Kluyveromyces lactis: one gene and its partners. The protein of the gene in region 4 purifies or fractionates together with the protein of the main gene of each other region. This does not show direct contact. Links are inferred from orthologs where the notes say so. Each region holds a gene or a part of one and is shown on either strand. Other genes may lie near its edges. The genes, in order: HCR1, TIF34, GCD11 and NIP1.

The links.
Region 1: the proteins of NIP1 (region 4) and HCR1 purify together in Saccharomyces cerevisiae (affinity purification with mass spectrometry; 6 studies listed by BioGRID, with this or other methods). This does not show direct contact. The link is inferred for Kluyveromyces lactis from reciprocal best matches to the Saccharomyces cerevisiae genes NIP1 and HCR1.
Region 2: the proteins of NIP1 (region 4) and TIF34 purify together in Saccharomyces cerevisiae (affinity purification with western blotting; 10 studies listed by BioGRID, with this or other methods). This does not show direct contact. The link is inferred for Kluyveromyces lactis from reciprocal best matches to the Saccharomyces cerevisiae genes NIP1 and TIF34.
Region 3: the proteins of NIP1 (region 4) and GCD11 purify together in Saccharomyces cerevisiae (affinity purification with mass spectrometry; 4 studies listed by BioGRID). This does not show direct contact. The link is inferred for Kluyveromyces lactis from reciprocal best matches to the Saccharomyces cerevisiae genes NIP1 and GCD11.

What each region holds. Positions count from the first base shown.
Region 1 is NC_006041.1:1,749,998-1,752,809, reverse strand, and holds HCR1 (translation initiation factor eIF3 core subunit j), read right to left. Parts: upstream 1,340-2,812; coding exon 506-1,339; downstream 1-505. Other genes in the region: PAR32 (Par32p), read left to right, coding at 2,033-2,500. UniProt on the Saccharomyces cerevisiae protein: Component of the eukaryotic translation initiation factor 3 (eIF-3) complex, which is involved in protein synthesis of a specialized repertoire of mRNAs and, together with other initiation factors, stimulates binding of mRNA and methionyl-tRNAi to the 40S ribosome.
Region 2 is NC_006042.1:696,333-699,139, reverse strand, and holds TIF34 (translation initiation factor eIF3 subunit i), read right to left. Parts: upstream 1,548-2,807; coding exon 504-1,547; downstream 1-503. Other genes in the region: KLLA0_F07381g (carboxymethylenebutenolidase), read right to left, coding at 2,026-2,807. UniProt on the Saccharomyces cerevisiae protein: Component of the eukaryotic translation initiation factor 3 (eIF-3) complex, which is involved in protein synthesis of a specialized repertoire of mRNAs and, together with other initiation factors, stimulates binding of mRNA and methionyl-tRNAi to the 40S ribosome.
Region 3 is NC_006040.1:897,787-901,405, forward strand, and holds GCD11 (translation initiation factor eIF2 subunit gamma), read right to left. Parts: upstream 2,073-3,619; coding exon 510-2,072; downstream 1-509. Other genes in the region: GTPase-activating protein SST2, read left to right, coding at 1-372; leucine-responsive transcriptional regulator LEU3, read right to left, coding at 2,540-3,619. UniProt on the Saccharomyces cerevisiae protein: As a subunit of eukaryotic initiation factor 2 eIF2, involved in the early steps of protein synthesis.
Region 4 is NC_006042.1:279,800-284,154, forward strand, and holds NIP1 (translation initiation factor eIF3 core subunit c), read right to left. Parts: upstream 2,816-4,355; coding exon 356-2,815; downstream 1-355. Other genes in the region: BGL2 (glucan 1,3-beta-glucosidase), read right to left, coding at 3,705-4,355. UniProt on the Saccharomyces cerevisiae protein: Component of the eukaryotic translation initiation factor 3 (eIF-3) complex, which is involved in protein synthesis of a specialized repertoire of mRNAs and, together with other initiation factors, stimulates binding of mRNA and methionyl-tRNAi to the 40S ribosome.

The DNA of each region.
Region 1 (2,812 bases), on a different chromosome or scaffold from region 4:
CTAAGTTACCAAGTTTCTCTACCAAGTTGTTACCTTATTATATAGTATATTGATATGCGGAATACAGACGGCGTTCGATTATACATATATATATATATATATATATAAGTACAAGTTCATAGCTGAGAAAAAAAAAAACAGTTCAAACGCGGAATAGGAACAATCATATACCGTCGACTCCACGACTTGGTTCATCCACCCTTGTTTTGATACATATCCGGCTTGCTCTCCTCTGGTCTTCTCTGGCTTTTCTTTGTTGCCGGATTTCCATGATGATTTTTCACTTCGTAGCGTGGGATGTAGCGTGGATCGGATCTTGTTGTACTGGTTTGAGGCAGCACTGGGCCAGTGGAGAGTCAAGAGCGCTCTCAGATTCGGTAGATGAGAGAGAGAAAGAGCGACCGGGCTAGCGAACAAGACTTGGGCAATATTAACAGTTCAATTGTTTACGTTCTATATATGATATGTGATGATGATATGTGATGAGATCTGTTTTTTTTTTCTATTACATGAAATCGTCTTCTCCGAAATCGTCAAAGTTATCGTTACCACCTAGGTCGAAATCGTTATCCTTCTTGAAGGCACCGCCGAGGTTAGCCCTAGTAGCCTTGGCCTTCTTCTTACCGGCACCGCCTGTGGCGGTGCCTCCCTTGACTTTGGCCAAACGAGCTTGTCTTTCTTCTCTTTCTTTATCCTTCATCAATACGTTCAATGTCGCAATGGTTTGTCTGATGTTTTCGACGGTCATTGGTTTGGAAATGTCTCTGATCAAGTCGATGGCTAGTCCACCAGAGTAGTTCAACAAGGATTTGTTGCTTGTCGAGGTGATTGCGGTAGCCAACGCTTTCCTTAATTCTTGGTAATCTTTTTTGGTTTCCAAATCCGAGAACAATGGGTGCGATTGGATTGGGGTATCCTTGGTCAACGCAGCAGGTTGGGCGACAGCTGCAAGCTGTTCTCTTTCACGTTCGGCGCGGGCTCTTGGATGTTCTTCTGCGACGCCAAGACCGCCGAAAAGGTCTGCAGCGTTGTTCAAATCAGATTCCAGTTCAGCCTTTCTCAATAGTTCTTTACGGGTCTTGTCGTCAAGAGTATCGATATCGAGCATGGTGTTCTTTGTAGCAGCTGGTGTAGCAGCTGGTGATGGAGAGGCTTTCTTTGGAGCCTTGGCTGCAGCTGCTGCTGCTGCCTTAGGCTTAGGTTTAGCAGTCTCCTCGTCCTCCCAGGACTCTAGTACCGGCTCATCGTCGTTTTCAGCGAACTCATCATCCCATGAATTCAACACTGGCTTCTCTTTGGAGCCACTTGGCACTGCAAAATCTTCGTCGTCCCAGGACATTGTTGATTGATAATTGATCTCGGTTAGGGTAGAGCTGCTGAAAGCAAGTGTTTATTGATTGTCCTCGTTACAAATTCTTGTCAAGATGCTTATGGGTGGCATTAAATTTCGATTTTTGGGTCTTTTGGGAGCTGTTACCCGGGGCAGTGGTCTTCCTTCCTCCGTCCCTCCCTTCTGCCGCAAAGACTGCTACGTCAAACCATCATATTGCATGTAGAACGAAAATACCCTGCTATAGACCACGATTTTTTGTCTATCCAGAGTTCCACTGGCACCATATAACATGTTAATGATCACTTCCCTTTTAATGGTACCCAATTGACGTATTCATATCCTGTTCTGCCCATTATGACGCTCCAAAATTAATTTATTTTTGATACCTATTTCTCAAAATTAAATAGTTACTTTTTCTGGCGTCACTCATGCACCAGGCTCCTCATCATCCCATACGACCTTCGGTCCCTTATCATCGATTCCTTGACCAACACACAATTAATGATCAACTCTCGATCCGAACCTTTTTTATATATACATGTCAGTATTGAAAACATAAAATGTGCATCCATTTAATAGTTGTTGGTCCAATCTAACCATTGTGATATAGGCTCGTGACAAGTGGACCTAATCTGGAATAGTTGTTTGGCAACGCAATAATAAAGAAAGTATCTTTGGGAGATTATTCAATATATCGGCATGGGTGAATATAGAGTAAGTACTGGAAGAGGAGGCGCAGGAAACATGATAACGTCGAACGAGAAACCTTCACCGAAGGTTGTGACACAGGGTTCCCAGACCCCCAATATACTATCGCCAATTTACTCTACGGGTCGCGGTGGTGCTGGTAATATGAGGAGGAATGTGGACCCGGTTATGACACGCACCGCACAGGATGTTGACGATGACGACGTGATAGACGTGACTTCTTCAAACAATACAGGAACCATCAAAAAGATCAAGTCGAGACGCTTCTCGGAACCTCCAAAGACCATATCGATCGGTAGAGGTGGTGCTGGGAACATACTAAGCCCTAAATCGTCAAGAAAGAAAAGGGATGAGAAGGGCTCTAAGAATTCCTCCACTGGAGACAACGGATCGAGTCACGTGGACGAAAAATCATCAAAGAGTGGGTTCTTCTCCAAATTGAAGAGTCTTTTCAAGTGAATCGCCACCGATCAGCTCTTCTCCTTCCTATCTTTTCATCCCTCACACTTGCATAATGAGACTATATAGTCCTCCTTCTTCTTCCCTTCTCCTTTTTTATTAACGTAACGAAATGAACTTTAAAAAGTAATCAAAAGATACTTCTTCTGTCTTCATGAACATTGGGACACAGACCCTGACAACTTGAAACAGATGTAATTGTACATATAATACTGCATAGCCTTTCTTCCCTCTATTTAATAAGGCATTTTTAATATATAAGTAATTCATAATATTGATTTTTATCTCTCAATCAAATCTCATTCATATAAA
Region 2 (2,807 bases), about 420 kb from region 4:
AACGAAGTATGCTACTGAAGTTTTAAAGATCTTTTCATACGTCTTACACATTTTAGCTGACGGGCTCACATATGATGGGACGTTTCTTCTAAAAGTTTGTGTCTGAAGGTTAGGTTATTTTACATTAATTTACATGGGTAATTGAATGTACATATAATTATCTAGCAAAACCGTTTCCGCATTAATCCTAGCAATATAAGCAATGAATGAAAACATTAGTTATTAACAACGATGAATCCAATAGCCGTGGATCACTGTTTTTGGGGTAAACGGACACATCTTTGCAGAGTTCGCAATGGAAGAACTCTGGTATGTAAAATAATATGCAACTAATGATGTTTAGTTATTGGTATACTAATATTGAATGATGAAAAACGGGAGCGTCAATAGGTTATCTAGTGCCAGAATAGAGTTGTGAAAAGTATGGATAATGTACACTGGTGTCATCAGATTTGTATCGATGGAAGAAAAAGAGATGTGTGATATGAGATGAATGACCAAGTTTATTCTTGCTTTTGCAGTTGTTGCCTTCTTTCCACTTCAAATGTCTTTTCCACGTCGTATTTGAAATCGAAGTATGATTTATCGAAATGATGTAAACGGATGTAACCATCTTCACCGCCAGATGCATATGATGTACCAGTTGGAGAAACGGCGACGTAATTCAAAGGACCGAAATGACCCTTAACTCTGCCAATTTCATCTTGGAATACCTTGTGGTAAATTCTGGCTTCGAACTTACCTTCACGAGCACTAGTAGTTGTGACATCCTTAGCATCTTGACCACCACCCAAGATTACAAATTCTTTGAGAGGAGTAATAGATGCACTATTTAATGGACAATCAGCCTTGTATGTTTTTAGAACTTCAAAAGTGTCGACATCCACCAAAGAAGCGACACTGTCTCTGGATGAAGTGATAAAGTAAGTTCTGTCTGGAGAGAATTGGATATCTTTGATGCTCTTTTCGTGGATCTTCTTTGCTTGAACGAATTCCCCGTTTTCACCGTAGTAAGCACTGATTTGACCATCTTCATGACCTGCTATGATGTACTTACCATTGTAGGACCAAGATGCAACGAACACCTTGGTAGCTTGCTCGATGGTTGTAATTTCGTAGTCTGGTTCCTCCTTCACATTCACGATTTCACCGTTTTCGTTTCTGATCAAAGAGTAAACAACAATGGAACCAATGTGACCCATAACGGCATCAAGTACAATCAAAAGTTTGCTACCGTCTGGAGAAAATTCGACTCTCAAAACTGGACTTCTGGTAGAGACAGAATGGACTGCTACACCTGTAGCAACTTTCCAGATCTTGAAACAGAAATCAGCACCACCAGTCAACGCATAAGTTGTGCTTTCATCAACATCAATAGACCAGATAGTACCAGAATGATCATCTAGAGTACCTAATCTTTCACCGTTGATAGCGTACCAGATAGAGGCAACACTATCTTTGGAGCAAGCAAAAACTAAGTCACCATCACGGTTGAACTTAACTTGCGTTAATGGACGTTCATGACCCTTCAAAACAATTGGTCTCATCTTTTCAATATTTTATACTTCTGAGTTCGATCAGAATCTGCTATTGCTGTTGGTTCCGAATAATCCTTGAACCAGTACTGAAGCTGCTCTAAGCTTTTTCTTGAAAATATATTGTTAATCCCACTGTGTATTTCGAATTTTTTTTCACTAATTCATCAATTTCTTTCACTTTTTCATTTTCTAAAGCTTCTTCCTCTGTGATAATACGCTCTCTGGCTTTACTTACGCTTGGAAAATTTTACTGATAAAAGAAATCTGTTAAAGGTAGGGTAATGAGGAAAATAGCATCCCAAGTAGAAGTACTGTGTCACTTGGTGATGATAAACTCTCAGAGTGTGTCCATACGGATCTCAGAACGAGATTCCATGACATATTATGGGTACTGGTTTGAAACCTTTGGTTTTTGCTGCACTAGTATAAGTATAAGTATATAGATATATCAATGTATAGTTGGCTTCACATGAAAGGATCGCATTGTCTAACAAACATGCTCGACAGGCGCATTGTCGTCAACGAACTCTCCTAGTTCACTCTTCAACTTTCTATCAAATAACTCAAACATAAAACCCAAACATGCTTTTGTCACTGCGGAATCGAATCTCCCCTTGCTGAATTCGTCTCTGATAAATGCATGTTGAGCACCGTTGATTTCTAAAAATGTGACAGACTTATCCTTCACTGCATTTCTAATTTGATCTCTGCCTTCCCATGGCACATGAGTATCTTTGGTACCAAAAATCAAGAAACATTCCTGGTCCTTTTTCCAATTGGCTGTAACCTTTTCCAATGAATCGTCATTCTTGCCCAAACCTAAAGAGTGAGAGTGAATATCAGTGGGGAAGAAACATGTTGTAGCCTTGATTCTGGAGTCAAGTTGAGCTCTGAAGGCCAAATGTCCACCTAAGCACATGCCAGTTGCACCAACTCTTCCATTCCATTGTGGTAGGTTTTCTAGTACATCAAGGCACAACGTAACATCTTCATCATACGATTCTAAGGGTTTTTCAATCTTGAATTTGTTACCTAGATCAGTACCCTCAGTATCATACGCCAAGGGTGTAGAATCTACAAAATTATGGTATGAAGATGGTAAAATGGCAATGTAACCTTCTGCAGCAATCGTTTGAGCGAATCTCAAAACAGGTCCAGTAACCTGATAAATTTCAGAGAAGACTAACACAGCAGGGAATTTAGCATTTGGATAGCCCTTAACGGTAGGCTTCACGATATGTATTCTGATTTCAGAATCGAAAGATGTTG
Region 3 (3,619 bases), on a different chromosome or scaffold from region 4:
ATAATATTCCACCCTCAGTCTCCAACTAAAACTGCGTTCGACACTTCAGGCAAGGAAAATTGTTCAAGAGCCATTTCGGATGCATCTGTTAATAGACCCTTAAGCCTCGATCCTGCTGCCCGGAAGAAATGCGTGGAGCATAAAGTACAATCCCATAGTAACACGTCAATGCCATTGGCGCCGACACCTCTTAATAAGGGTACTGAGTCATACGTCATTATTCATGCTATATCAATGTTGAAGGATTTGTATCAGTTACTGGAAAAAATCAGAAATACCGTATTTATCATGATGAAGAACGACTCTTTGCCCAAATTCCTGGCAACAGAATCGTATAGGGACGCAATTTCATTAATAACTGCTAACAAGTAGAACCTAGGCATTTCATCATGAAGAATAAAGATATTCATCTTGCAAAAGAATGTGGCCTTTTCTACCAAGAAAATGGAACATTAATGTGACAATATATACATATAGACATATATAAAATCATTTAGTTAATTTACAGATTAAGCGATTGGTTCAAGAGTGGTACCCTTCTTGATAGTAGCCCAACCAATTAAACGCCAATGCTTTTCGATACGTCTAGATAATGCAATCTTTTCATTAACTTCTGTACATGCAGGGGAAGTTAATTGTAATCTTGCCATATCGGCTTTGACGGCAACCACACGGGCACCAGTAGCGGTGGAACCGATGTTCACCATTAAAACTTCATTTGGCTCTAACTTTCTAACCTTTGCTTGTTTTTGACCATCGGTCTTTACACCTAATAGACGACGCAATAGGAAGTAGTTAATTTCGATATCGGTGTAGATAGATGGCAAATGGCCCTTAGCACCAACGACTTGACCCACTAGACGATCTGCTCTACATAACGTTGGATCGACCTTAGTACCAACACCAATCAAACCACCTGGAACGGCGAATTTTAGGTCGTTGTGTTCAGCAAATAGGGAAACGATATTGGAGAAAATTGGCTTACATTGAATCTTACCATGATCATCTTTAGTGACGATACCTGGTCTAATTTCGATCTCATCGCCTAATTTGAAAACACCAGTCAAAATGGAACCACCGGCAACACCACCCTTCAAATCTTCGATTTCGGCACCTGGCTTGTTAACATCAAAGGAACGAATGACAATCAATCTCGGAGACGCTAAGAAGTCTCTTTGAGGAACAGGAATACTTTTCACGATGAATTCATTCACAGCATCAATGTTATATTTCAATTGGGCTGAGATTGGAACGATTGGAGCACCATCAGCGATGGTACCTCTAATAAATTTCAAAATAGATTTTTGATGTTCCAGAGCAGAGTCTTCTCTCATTAGATCGACTTTGTTCTGTAAAATGATAACGTGCTTCAACTTCATAATTTCGATAGCAGCCAAATGTTCAGAGGTTTGTGGTTGAGGACAGGATTCGTTACCTGCGATTAGAAGTAGTGCTGCATCCATAACGGCAGCACCAGACAACATGGTAGACATTAAAATATCGTGACCAGGACAATCGACAAAGGAAACATGACGGACTAGTTTATAACGTCCACTGTAACCTGGAAGATCAACCTTTGGTGCAACTTCTTTGTCAGATCTGAAAGACTTATAACAGTCTGGTTCTGGGCATTCTGGATCTTCTGCTTTATAGATTTTGGCATTGGCGTAACCTAATTTAATGGTAATATTACGTTCTAATTCATCCTTGAAACGAACGGTTTGAACACCTGAAATAGCTCTCACAACGGTAGATTTACCGTGAGCGACATGACCGATAGTACCAATATTGATAGTGGCTTGTCTATTGATAATTTCTGGTGATAGAGGGTTCAACTTGGAAAAATCTGGGTTCGTTGGTTGCTCTGGAAGACCACCACCTTCTTCAAATTCTCTCTTTCTACGTTCTTCATCCGCTTCCACATCATCAATCCCACTGAAAGTAACAGTCTTCTTAGGCTTCACTTCATCAAAAACTTGCTCCTCTTCTTCAACCTCAAATGTATCTATTGGCTCATCATTAAGATCCCCATTGATGACAATACTTGGCTCTTGGTTTTGCAAATCAGACATCCTGAACTTTAGGTATTATAAACAATCAGAAAAAACTATCACTAGATATCCTTTTTGATACTTTCCCAAATACTGCACCTGGCCGTTCTATTCTCTGGAATTAAACTCGGTTGCTAACAAGATCTTTATACCTTTACACCTTCATTACTCATCGAGATTAATCATATCCACATATATCTACTCAATTCTGTTGAAACTGATTTCGAATTTGGCATTCTTACAATTCAAAAAAATTTTCGATACAAAGTAACGATTTCGTACAGAAAGAGAAATCTGGTGGTATTTTCGATCACGTGATTATGTTTTAAGTACTTGGAAAATGTGCATAACGACATCTGGTTTTGCTTAGGTTTCTCGCCAGTGACAGGTTAGCAGTTGGTGTCATTTCGCAGTATCAATCTGTTAACCGATGATTTAATTCGTCTTATAATAAGTATTTATAGAAATATATAACCAATAATTTAATATTACAACGTCGGATTGAATGCGAATTCGTTCATTAGAATGTCGACATCTTTCCAAACAAGATCTGATTCCCAGTTGTCCCATCTTTCCGTAAGACCTGGAGAAATTGAGGGCGTATCTTCCTTTCTGTTTTCAGTTCCTTCTGATATTATCGATTTTGTAACGGACTGGAAGGATTGCGGTATTGGTGGCTCCAACAACTCATTTAAGGACTGCGCAGCAGGATTGATCTTTCGAGTCGGTTTACTATGATTTGACGGACTTGAAACCCTAAATTGTGGGGAGTTCGTTTTCTTGGCGGTGGTAGAATGGTTTATGAGTTTATTGTCTGTGACGGCGTTCAAAGGATTTAGAGATCTGGGATAACCGCTAGTTTCAACATTGGAAGCACCAGCATGTGTGTTTGTAGGTGATACTATGATATTGTTGCTAGGGGAAGATGAAGATGGCATTGTACCATTTTTCTGTTTCTGCAAAATCTCGTCCTTTGGGGACGTTTTGTTTAGGATTGATTTCAATGACAAAACGTCACTACTATGTGAACCGTTCGGAGATGTAATATTGCTTCCACTGGACTGCTGTGCATTGATGGGCTCTGGGTCAAGTGGAATGGTAGATATAATCCTTCTGGCATGTTCTTCGGAATACCCATCGTTGGGCAGTAGTTCTTTGGACTCTGCATCTCCGTTATGGTTATCGCCACTATTTTCATCATCAGAGGAGACTGTCTTTTCTCTTTCTCTCTTTAGTTTTGCCATACCGCACTTCTGTCTTAATATGAACAAGCAGTCAAAGAAAACACTCACAGACATTCTAGATCTTATGGTAATACTCAAGTTAAAATCCTTTTCTGACTGTGTTGAAGAGGAACTTTGGTCTTTCTTCGCTTTCCACTCTTCGAACATGTTGCTGAACATGCTCCATATACTTCTCATAATACCAGCTGATCTATAAGCCATATCGTACTTGAGGACAGAAGCATTCGAAATTAATGATACAGCATCTTGATAAACTTCATGACCAGTATCGACATCGATAATTGAGCCCAATGAGGAATGGACTAGCTTTGATATTATTGATGC
Region 4 (4,355 bases):
ATACATTTGTCCATAAATGTGTATCATATACATATATATATAGAATGAACCAGCGCATAAACTGTATTGTTACGAGTCAATGTTCGAGATGTTATATGTCTCCAAAATTCAATTAATTGATTTCAAAAACTACGTAATTGCCTACAGTGAGAACTATGTTATATATTATCGATAATGTACAAATACTAGTATTTATTGCAAATGCTAAAACAAAGGTTCTTTGCCAACGACTCTGTCTATTAATATGCGCACGGTAAGTGAACAAAAGAAGGAAGAGCAAATTTTGTTATGTGTATGGAAGGTGAGTGCTACAATTAGAAACTGACCTTATCTGCTGAACGAAGAATGAAAATGTTTACTGGCGTAAACGTTCAGAGTGGTACTTGGTTTCTTTAACTAACTTGATGGCAACTTCTTCTAACTTTGTGATTTCTTCGCCTCTTTCGAAGATAATGTATTCGTTATTTTCATCCAATTTGGCTTTAACTTCGTAATCATTGATGATGTTTTGTGCTACAGCCAAAACCTTTTCGATATCAAGATCAAACAATTTCGATAATTTAGAAATGGATATTTTAGAGTAGAATCTCTTGTAAGTGAAAATGTAAGTTTTCAAAGTTTCAATTTGAACCTTTTCACTTAGTTGGTTGATGATATCATCAGATTTACTCAACAAAGACCACACAGAAATTTTCCTCAAATATTCGATCGATTGTAAGTAATCACCCTTTTGCATTGACTTTGCAGCATAAAGAATGTGATCTCTTAGAGTTTCTGGAGGACCATGGAAAATAGCTTTCTCTGAACTCTCTAGAATACGGCGGATAGATTTTTGGAAAACTGGGATTCTCTTGACCTTAATACCGCTGTAATAAGCTGCCATGTGAGGCACATCAAGTAATAAAGAACATGTCATGTAGACGGTGTCAATTAGATCCAAGTTGATGTGTTGATGGAAAGGAAGACATAATTGTTCAACAGGGGCACCCTGCACGACATTGCTGTTCGCATTAGCTCTTTGTAAACTTTGTTGACCCAAAATTTCTCTTAGATGTGGATTAATACAAAGACCGTTCAAAACTTGGTGACATTCATTTATTAAACCAGCCTTAAATGCAGCCAAACCAAGTTGAATAACACATCTATTGTACAAAATTTGTAATGCTGCATCAGAGCCTGAAATGAATTTAGCAATATCGGAAGAAAGCATTATTTTCTTTGCTGGAGCGTATTCTTGGTTCAATGCAATATAATATGTTTTGTACAAGGTACCTTTTCTGTAGTTGAACACGTTGTTACTCTTTTGTTTAATTAAGAAATCGGACAATTCAGAGATGACCTTGAAGTTGTAATCGGCATCTGCGGAATCTGATTCATTCAAACGAACGAAAGAGGATTCAAGGGACGCAGTTCCTTCACGAATTTGTTTCCATGCAACGGTTTCCATAATAGAGATGAGCTTGTCGGACTTGTAGTAGATATGTTCAAGTCTTCTGTTGAAGACACGGGCCAAAAGTCTATCGCGGTGTTCTTCTGCAGTTACACGTTCAAAGTACAATTGGGATCTGATAATCAAATTGTAAATAGATTGTTCATCTCTCAAACGTTCCATGTATTCACTGGAACGAGTGTCAATGTTCAAAAGGGATTTGCTAAATTCATCGTCCAATCTTTCAACCATAGAGAAGATAGAACCCAAAATTTCCTTGACACCATGCTCATTAGCTTCTGGTTCATCTTCAATGAAATCATTTCTTGGGGCAAATTCAGTAACTTGATAGTGGTCGATCTCTTGTTCCAGCACTTCCAATAAACCATCCAAGTTATCCTTTGATGCTTTCCATTGTTCTAGTGGTTGGTATGATAAGGATACAGATGCATCGAATCTGATTGGAATCAAGTTCAAGTATGTACAGATCTTTTCATATGGAGTCTTGGCAATCTTCAATAGTTCTTCGGTGGTTTTAATTTGTTCTGTGTGGTCAGTGTTTTTCTTACCTCTAGAATCGATGATAATATTCAACGTCTTGAAAAAGTCTAGCTCAGAAATGTTATTTGCCACGGATGCCAAGTCTAAATTCTTCTTACCACTCAAGGAGAATGGAGTAGCAGAGACATCTCTTGAGTCTATATCAGCATCTAAGACAGGTTCCTTGTCAAAGTCCTCTGGGTTTTCTCTGTAAGCCTTAACGGAGGTTTCGTTTTCTCTGATTAACTTCTTAACTCTTTGCTTGGTGGTGTTATAAGCTCTTGCAACTGCCTTATTCTTAATTTCATCCTGAGAAGTAGCAGATACCGCATCTTCAAATCTAGCCAATGACTTCACAAAGATATTAGGTGTACCGTAGTTTTGTTGTTGGGCTTTTGTGTATAATTTCAAAATGGTTTCCAAATGGTTTAATAATGATTCCCAATCTTGTTGGGCTTCTGCGGAATCAATTTTTTGGTAAATAGATTTCATTTCATCCAACAACTTCTCTTTTGCTGACTTCACAACCTTCTTACCATCTTCTTCGTCGGATGAGTCTTCATCAGATGAATAGTTGGTAGATTTCAAGAACTTGTTAGCACCTGAACCACCACCTTTTCTGAATTCTGGCTTCTTGAACCAGTCAGGGCCGTAGGGTTTGCTATCAGAATCATTGTCTTCATCATTATCGGAACTCTCATCAGAGTCGTTGAAGAAAGAGTCATCAGATAATTCTTCCTCACTGGAGGATGAAACTAAATCCTCTTCACTTTGAGATAACAAGTCTTCTTCTTCACCAGAAGACGTTGAATCGTACTCATATGTCTTCAAAAAAAAACGGGACATGATGAATGGACTATCGCTTAACGTTGTTCTATTTCCTTAATACCACGTACTAATCTCAACCTAGTCTCCCTGTTACGACCTGGTGATTCCAACCTACAATTGAAAAGTATTGCTTATTACACGTCTCAACTGAATTTCATCTATTAATTCGATTTCAAACCTTTCAGATTTTCTTTTGAGATGAGCTTTCACTGAGTGAAAATTTGTGAAAATTTTCAAATAATCATGGAACACGATTGGTAGCCGGGTAATGATAAATGAATGTACCATTGCAAAGAACAAAGTGAAGTGGGAGTCTGTCGCCGGTTGATGTTAGGCCAAAATGGACGTCTAACTTTGTGTGATTGCGTATAATCATCGATGATAAATAGGGTATAAAATAATATCGATTTAATTTAGTTATATGAAAAGTGAAATATAGATGTTGCTAAGAAATAAAATAATTTTGAAGCTTTCATACCATATACGATGCCTTCTTGATCGATGTTTTGTGGGCATACTTCGACAACGGGATAGATACATTTATGGTTCATGAAAATGTTCTGCTGTTGTGATATATAAAGTACTCTTTTAATGTTCTTTTTTTTTTTTAGTCCAGGAATTAAAATGGATAGTATCGCAATTTGAAGAATTCAAGTAGGTAATAAGTTAATATCACCTTTAGATAACAGCCGTAGTAACAAGTATGAATGGATCAATTTGCTGAAGGAATGTGTGACCTAAATGTGACATGAAAGCTTCATTTGTATAATTTTGAGTTGTTAATAGGAGACGAAAGGAAACAACAAGTCAACAATTATAACCGGTATCAAATGAGAAAGTGGAAGGGTAAAAAAAATACACACAATCTGTATTGTATGTTAAAGAGAAGAGAAGCTCAACTCAAAAATTAAGAGCTGAAATCACAATCCAACTTGAACTTCAAGTTTCTGTTGGCATCCCAAACACCCCAGTACTTTTCAACATCGGAAATACCAGAAGTATCTGGTTTCCAGTCCTCATCGAAAGCTTCGAAAACGATAACGTTGACACCCCAGCCTCTCATAGCACAAATACCATCAGCCCAAAATTGCTTAGCGTTATCTAGACCTGGGTAAGCACTTTCAAAGTTGGTACCATCGGTTGGCCAGCCAGTTTCACCAACCCAGAATTGAATGTCAGTAGAACCCTTGGTAGTTTGGATAGTTTGTAGAGCTTGCATGATATCGTCGAAGAACGAGTAAGAAGCATTATCCATAGTTTGACCTTGCCAGTAAGAGAAGGCGTTCGCCATGACAAAGTCAGCAGCTTGAATGGCGGTAGCAGATCCACCATCGACCAAAACGTTCCATGAGTCAACAGTACCGACTTGCTTGCCACTGTAAGAGTTACCATCGGAATCCTTGATGTCTTTAATGTAGTCCTTGACATCAGAGATAGCATCTGCCAATTCAGAAGCAGTCATATCTTCACGGTACAAAGCTTCGGAACCAACCAAGAAGGCTTCGATGGTAGAAGTTTTGATCCATGGCAAGTATTGAGTCAAAGCTTGCTTTTCTTC